Cricetulus griseus: one gene and its partner. The main gene of each other region encodes a partner of the protein of the gene in region 2 in a complex. Links are inferred from orthologs where the notes say so. Each region holds a gene or a part of one and is shown on either strand. Other genes may lie near its edges.

Region 1 (3,646 bases), on a different chromosome or scaffold from region 2:
TGCAAAATACTAATATACATAAAATAAGAACAAAAATCTCAATAATTAAAAAAAAAAAAGAATTCCATGGGCCACTTAAAAACAGAATAACCAGTCAGTTTTACACAGAAACTTTAATAGTAAGGGTTGGTTTGTAGACACAAGTTGTTTTTTGTTTGCTTGGTTTTGTTTTGTTTTTTTTTGAGACAGGGTGTCACTCTGGTCTAGAACTTACTATAAAGCTCTGGATGGCTGGAACTCGTAGTGTCCTCTTGCCTCTGGGGTTACAGTCATGACTAACAACAACTAGCTTTGTGGATACAGTTCTAAGGACTATGGAGTCTGTGCAATCTGCAAGACTGCTCATTAATGAACTTAGTGGGACTGTTCTTCCTTAACAGAAAAACCCCTAGTGATTACAAAAAACATACCCTCTTTGCTTTGGTATTAAACTCAGAAACATGACTTCAGACAGTCACATTTGTCGTAAACATCATTGTAAAGAAAAGAATCTTCCACTTATAAATCTAACCAAAGAGAATGGATACAGTTTTCAAACGTTCTCTTCAAGTTAACCACTATTGCCAAATTTGAAAAGGGTAGATGCCAAAAGAACAATAGTAATGTGTGTAGGTCCTCAGTTCAAATCCTGCATCTTTGAGTTCTTTAAATGCAGAGCCTTAGACAAGAACTCTACTTGAGGAGAGCTTTCTATATCTAAGTACTCCTAAAGGCAAACCCACAAACCACAGAGTATACCTGGGGTAGCAGAATGACATAGCACCTACAGCCAGATGTGGCAGTACACAGCTGTCATCTCAGCACCGGGAGGCAAAGGAAGGGGTGCACCACAAGCTCAGACTATTGCACAGAGTTCCAGGCCAGCCAAGGCTACATAGCAAGACCTTAGCAAAAGAAGTGGAAACCAAAGACAAAACCAAAGCACACATCATAAAATACAGTAAGCCATAAGCTATCTTTCTTTAAAATATTTACTTTCCCAGACTATTAAAAGGCATCTGACATTGAACACTAGACACTATGGGATGGTGATTCTTAGAAGACTAAAAGTTACATTGGATTTAACACATACCTTATCATATGGCAAAAGGCCTTTCAAAGGAAAGCGAAGGGTTGCAGGGTCCAGTTTCCATGAGTTACAGATGGCTCCTGAGTTGTTCACAACTGGCAGAAGACTGCAACGGCCTGTACACGCATTACAAAAACATTTCTATGTAAATCTGACCGAGGCAATGCCAGGTTCTTCATACCTCTTTGATAGTAATGAATATGCATGCTGGGGTAGACACTGGTTTAAATGCCTTTAACAATGCTGTCAGGAGACTAAAGTGTGAGAATTTTTATTACCTTTATTTCTTTCAGATGGCTGAACAATCAATTTGTACAAGGCTTCCAAATTTGAAACTGTTGAGTTTTGTTTTAGTGTCTAAGGCAGAGGTCAGCAAAGTACAGTCCCTGAGCCAAATCTAGCTGGCTATCTGCTTTTACAAAGTTGTAATGACACACAGTCACCTTTGTAGTCCGGCAGCAAAGCTGCCACAGACTACAACACAAAGCTTCCGATGGTTATGAGATGGGACTGTACAGATTCAGCCCGAGATCTCTGCTCTAGAGTTAACGCTTTTGGGTTTTATTTGTTTGTTTTGTGAGATTTCTCTAGAAGACTTTGATGTGGCATATGCTGACTGCCTAAACAACAGTGTCACTTAGCTATTCCATAGATATCCCAAGCTCAACCTACCTGAAATGAACTCACCTTCATCTTTCTTAAGATCTGCTTCACTTCTGTAATTCATTTAAGGATATTATTATCCGATCAGTTACAAAACCTAGAGTTCAGGATTTTTTGTCTAGAGAATTTATGTAGTTTATGTTTATATTCCCTGTGTCTAAAACTGCACTGACTCTTAAGAAATGCTCAATAGATGATCATTAAAAGAAGGTCTATATCCCAGATAGTTATGTGGCTGCCACAATTTCTAAAAATACATTTGGGCATTGCAAAGAGTATCAAATGAGAAAATTAAACCAAACATAAAAAAGTAGATAGCTAAAATATCCAATGAAGAGCTAAGGTGTGAATTATAATGGACTAGAAGAGTCTGGTATTCCCCATACTATAGCCACAGCAGAACAAGCTTGCTGGCATTTCCAGCTGCCTAGAGTTTAAGAAGCATTTCCAGGCGTTATAGACGTAGCTCAGTAGTTCAGCAGGCATGAAGCCCCGGCCTACATAGTTTGAGGCCAGTGTGGGTTACACAGACCTTGTTTTAAAAATCCAAAAATAAAACACAATAAAAGTTATACCAAGCTAATCAAAATATACAAAATAAAAAGTGTTCCCAGTTACTAGGTAACACAACTTCTAGAATGGTCTTATGTGAAAGTTACACCACTCTATGATCTCTGTCTTTGCCTATCCAAAGCACCTGAAAATAAACATTATTAGTTTCCTCGAGTGTTACAAAGTGGCAAGCCACTCATAAGAGGCCATCTTTCAGCTTTGTCCAGCAGACTCATAGTCACTAAAGATCAGGTATTAAGTAATATACTAAGCAAACTTCAAATTGTAATCTTACCGCAAATGGAGTTTATCCTTGCTGTGGGCCTAAAGGTGTCCACAAAGTCTGATACCAAGTTTCCTAGTAACTAAAAGAAAACAGATAATACAAAAGACCAAGATTACCCAGAGTGATCATCTATTAAAATTTAGATAATACCCATAAAGAATTAGTACAAGCCTGGCACAGAGTAATTACTCAAAGACAAGTGCACTCTTTTTCTTCCAGGTACTTGTCACCCAGTGTGTCCCTAAGTTAAGCCAAGCCACTAGATCCTTACCTAGTCAATGAAGCTTTGTGCTTTTTAAGCACATAAGAACTGTCCCAATGGGCTAACAGAAATATGAAACAAATATATTATGCTAAAAATACATTTACTGGGCCAGTGATATGGCTCAACAAGTCAAGATGATTGACACCAAGCCTGATGGCATAAGTATGATCCCTGGGACACACAGACAGAAGAGAGAATGACTTATGCAGGTTAGCCTTAGGCCTCTAGCCACATGCATGGTGTACACAGTCCACACACACACAAATAAGTATTAAGTATAAAAATATATGCTACTCAAGCATAATAACATAATCAAGGCACTACTTTTCCTTTGGGACCCCTCCCACTCTAGGGAGTTGACTTTACTTTCCCCATGTTCACTCTGATACATAAATCACTATCTTTTCGAAGGAGGCAGTGAAATGAAATGGCTCAGCAGGTGAAATTACTTGTTGTGCAAAACTGATAACCTAATTTTGAGTACTGGATCCCACTGACAAAGGAGAAAACCAACTCCCAGAGCTGATCTGACTCCATATGCATGATACGGCATGTGCATTGATATACATACTGTACTGGCTAATTTTATGTCAACTTATCACAGGCTAGAGTCATCTAAGAGGAGGGAACTCTGATTGAGACAATGCCTCCATAAGATTAGACAATTCCTGGACTGGTTGTCCTGGGTTCTATAAGAAAGCAGGCTGAGGCCGGGTGTTGGTGGCCATGCCTTTAATCCCAGCACTCAGGAGGCAGAGGCAGGTGGATATCTGACTTTGAGACTAGCCTGTCTACAAGAACTAGTTCCAGG
Region 2 (4,420 bases):
TTCTGTGAAGTAACGTGTATGAACCACCCTCTTTCCTGGTTTTAAGGTTTGGGATACTTTCAAAGCTCCATTCCTATGTCAGCTTTCTCTCACCCGTATTACACTCCCACCCATCTCTCCTGCGTTTTACTCTTCCTTTGTTTCTTTGAGACTGTGTAGACCTGTCTGGCCTGGACCTCCCAGAGATCCGCCCGCCTCTGCCTCTGAGTGCTGGGGTAAGAGGCCGCGTCCCACTAATTCTACCTCTTTTCAAGCCAAAGTTCCCCCTCCCTGTATTTTGGGGCCGAAAACTGGTGAGTTGGTTGGAAGATAGTGTCCAGTATCAGCACTTCTCTCATTACTCTGAAGAAGGAATGCTGATTATTGGACCCTTGGAGCCTGAGGAAGGGCCTGCTCCCCACACAGCACATTGTGAATGTGGCACATAGCAAGAGCGCTGGGGACATTTATGCAAGGAATGCCTGCACGCACGCAGAGTGGGCGCAAAATGCTCCGGAAACATGCGTGCTTTAGGAGCTCAGCGCTCGGTAGGCAGCGAACCCCGAGCCCTGGCTTCGTAGTGCCAGGGTTCGAATCCCGCGTCCTCGGGCAAGCGCCTCGCTGCCTTTGTGTCTCTGAGTCCCACTCCTCCGCCCGGTGAGCAGCGGCCGGCGGGCGTGAGGTTTCGAGGACACTCCTCGGTACGGTCCGACAGGCCGGCCCAGCCCGGCCCACGCCGCGCCCCAGGCCCGAGCAGCTACCAGGGCTCCGGAGGCCGTGCCGAGAAGCCGCGGCCTCCTCGGCCGGCGACAGACGCGCGCCCGCGCCCAGGGCGGGGCGTCCACGCAGCCCCGCCGTCCCACGGCCGCCCGCACCTCTTTCTCTCTCTCCCTCCCTCCCTCCCTCTCTCGCTCGCTGGTCCCCGCTCCGAGAGGGCCGCGCTCGGCTCAGCAGCGCTCCCGCGAGCCGCACCGCCGCCGCCGCCGCCGCCGCCGCGGCCCCTCCCCGCCCCCCGCGCGGCCGGCGCCCGTCACGTGACGCGCCGCAGCCAATGGCGGGCCGAGCCGCGGTCGGCGGCCGCCATTGCTGTCAGAGCGAGCGAGCCCGGGAGGGAGGAGAAGCGCGGCCGACTGGGGAGGAGGGGGGGGTGGGGAGGAAGAGGAAGGAGGGGACGGCGCTCGCTGCCGGGGTCGCCCGCTGGCTTCGTCCGCACCCCCCCCTTCGCGGGCTCGCGCGGCAGCGGCGGCGGCGGCTCGGGGCGGCTGCGGGGCTCGCGTGCCTCACGCGCCGGCGCGGCGAGGGCGAGTCGCCCGCCGGCTGGAGATAAACAAGGCGGCCGACGAGGCGGCGAGGCGGAGGCGGAGGCGGCGGCCCTGCGCGACAGAGGCGGGCGCGTTGCCGCGCCGCGCCCCCCGCCGCCGCCGCCGCCGCCCTCGGGCTCCGCGCGCGGCCTCGCGCCCCGGTGCCCGCGAGCCGCCGCCCGGCCCGGCCCGCTCCGACATGCCCCGCTCTGGCGGCCGGGCTCGCGGAGGACCATGACCGCCGCGGCGAACTGGGTGGCGAACGGGGCGAGCCTGGAGGATTGTCACTCCAACCTCTTCTCGCTGGTGAGTGGCGGGGCGGGGGCCCGGGTGGGGGGCGCGACCTCCCCGCCGCGCAACTTTCTCCTCCCGGAGCCCCGGCGGCGTCGGCGAGCGCGGCGCCCGGCGTGGACGTACGTGTGGAAGTCGGGGCGCTGCGGACGCCGGGGCGCGCTCGGAGCGCCCACCTCCGTGGCAATCACACCCCCCTTCCTCTCCCCTTCCCCCTCTTTTTTCTTTTCTTTTCTTTTCTTTCTTTCTCTCTTCCTCTCCCTCCCTCTCTCTCTCTCTTTTTAACTCCTTCCCGAAATGTGGAAGGCTTAGAATTCTGCCTTGTGCAGCCGCCGGCGCCTGCGATCTGCAGGCTCGTCCTCTCTCCGGATCGGATCGGCCGCTCTCCCGCGTCTGCCTTCTGAATTTTCTTTTTTTAAATTCCACAATGACACCTGCGATTTCGACCGAAAACAGTTGATGGAAGGCGATTGTGTCAGGGAAAGGACTCTGGCAGCGGAAGCTCGCACGGTTGTAAACACGGACAGCCGCCAGCCTCTCGGGGCTTACTATGCTGGAGAGCGGGAGAGCCATTGCTCAGAGCCCACGGAAGGTGGAGGAAGCTCCTGCTCCTCGGCTCTCCTCCGCTGCCTTTAAAAACTGTTTTTTCTGCCCTAACAAGGAAAACACACACACACACACACACACACACACACACACACACACACACACACACGAGAGAGAGAGAGAGAGAGAGAGAGAGAGAGAGAGAGAGAGAGAGAGAGAGAGAGGAGAGCAACAAGCTGGGCGGTTTGATAACATCGCTTTTATCTGCCTTTGCCTCTCCTCTCTCCCGCTTTCGCCTCTCTGATAATTGACAACTTTTGCTTTGGAAGTGCATCGCCTGCCTTAATCTCGAAGCATTTAGGGTGTCAATTGTTCTCCTGGAAGCCTGGCACCCGACGAGGGCGGCTCGATTCATCGAAATTAAAAATGTATAGGGCTCCAGCAACTCTTTCCTGGCGGTGGCAGTGACATTTGGTGGTAAATGCCATCTTTGCTTTTTATTGGGTCGTATTACCTCGCTCTGAAAACATTCGCGTTGTTAAACCTGGTGCTTAGACTGATAATGGGAGTGCGTGGTCTTTAAATACGCGCTTTGTGCCTGAGTTACTGTATGTGGAGCTATGTGCCCGGGAGAGTACGAATTTGTTTAAATATTGAGCAAAGATTTGTAAACAGATGTAAGGCAATTATGTTTCAAGCGTAGAATATAATTGGAAAATTGGTTGAACGGCTTATTTAATTTAGCCTTAAAAACTCAACTTATTTTAAGTTGTGTGCCCAGTATTTGTTTTGGGGGGGGCTGGGGTACGCTCCCTTTTGGAGAGCATGCATTTATTGCAAATTATTTTCTGTAACCCCTGCTGTAGATAGGAGCTTTATTTCCTCTCAGTCCTTGTTTACACTGGATAAATAATTTAGTGTTGAAATTGTAATTAGTTACATTTAATTATGGGTGGCATAGATGCTTTTTCTCCCCTTGGAGACTAGTGGAGAAATACGAATTCTTGCCAACTTAGGAAGTGTCATTTTATTTTCATGCAGATAAAGAAATCAAGCATGATTTTGGCCTACAAAGACCTAGTGACATAGTACTCCTGCTTGCAGTCCTGTAACAGTGTAACAGCAGGCTGATTTCTTCTTACTCTGAATTGAGACTCAGTTAGAAGTTGGGGTTCTTCCTTCACCGCTGTGGTAATTTACCCCTTGATCTTTTGATGTGAGGATAAAACTACTTTTGCCCCCCCCCTTCCTCTGTCTGTCATTTAGTATTAGGTTCAGGAACCTTCATAGATCAGCAAATGTATTGATTAAGGGGTATTTAAAATGGTTTTGTTTGGCGGCTGGGTGACCACATTGACATACTTACAGGTAATTAAAATAACCAAGTCAACCCATATTAGTTTGGGAGAGCTCCCAAATTACCATACATCATGCTGACTAATAATGGCTTGTGTGCATGTGGCTAATTTATAGACAATGAATTGTGTGGACAAATGAAAGACTGTTGGTGCACAGCTGAACTGTGAGGTCATTCCTTATCTCTTGAGCTTCAAGGGGGTGATAGTGTAGAGATGAGATGTTTGAAATTCCTTGTTGAAGATTCTGGACTTTGATTTTTACTGGCCTAAGGATGCATTCTGGGTATTTCTCCCCTAAACATCTTTAAACCAAAGAGTTGACTTTTGAATATAATTTAAAGTATAATTAACTTTTTGGGTAATCCCTTTGAAATGCAGACATGCTTAGATTGGTTTAAAAATATAGAATGTTTATATTTCATGGTACCTAGGGATGTATAAATGCTGTTTAATTGTTCAAAATGGCTTATTTATTTTTATTTTATGTGCATTGATAGATGTTTTGCCTGCATGTATGTCTCTGTGAGGGTGTCAGATTCTTTGGAATTGGAATTACAGATGGTTGTAAGCTGCCATGTGGTTGCTGTGAATTGAACCCCGGTCCTCTGGAAATGCAGCTAGTGCTTTTAACTCTATCTAAAATTTATTTGAAGAAAAAAAAATCAAACTTCAGTCTTTTCTTCTGATTCCAAATTGAGAATTTTTCCTGAAGATCATATACAGACAGCAGCAATCTATCATGTTAAGAATACATTGCCCTAACAACATAGTTGATTCCAAAGGGTTGGCAGTGATCACCTTTTCAAAGTCATGTGTATGTCTGAAGAACTATAGGTACTTGGCATTTTGTACTTTTTGCCATTTTGACCTGCAGTTTTGTTTCTGAGCAGAGAAGAGTTATTACTTCTAGAAATGTAGCCACACGATCACGTTATAGTAGATGGA

What was found. The genes of interacting proteins can lie anywhere in the genome.
Region 1: Med13l (region 2) and Med23 share a complex: the UniProt entries of both Homo sapiens proteins name them as parts of the mediator complex. The link is inferred for Cricetulus griseus from reciprocal best matches to the Homo sapiens genes MED13L and MED23.

Annotation. Positions count from the first base shown.
Region 1 is NC_048595.1:244,052,786-244,056,431, reverse strand, and holds part of Med23 (mediator of RNA polymerase II transcription subunit 23), read right to left. Parts: intron 2,650-3,646; coding exon 2,580-2,649; intron 1,186-2,579; coding exon 1,073-1,185; intron 1-1,072. UniProt on the Homo sapiens protein: Required for transcriptional activation subsequent to the assembly of the pre-initiation complex. Component of the Mediator complex, a coactivator involved in the regulated transcription of nearly all RNA polymerase II-dependent genes.
Region 2 is NC_048597.1:98,444,091-98,448,510, forward strand, and holds the start of Med13l (mediator of RNA polymerase II transcription subunit 13-like), read left to right. Parts: upstream 1-1,514; coding exon 1,515-1,586; intron 1,587-4,420. UniProt on the Homo sapiens protein: Component of the Mediator complex, a coactivator involved in the regulated transcription of nearly all RNA polymerase II-dependent genes.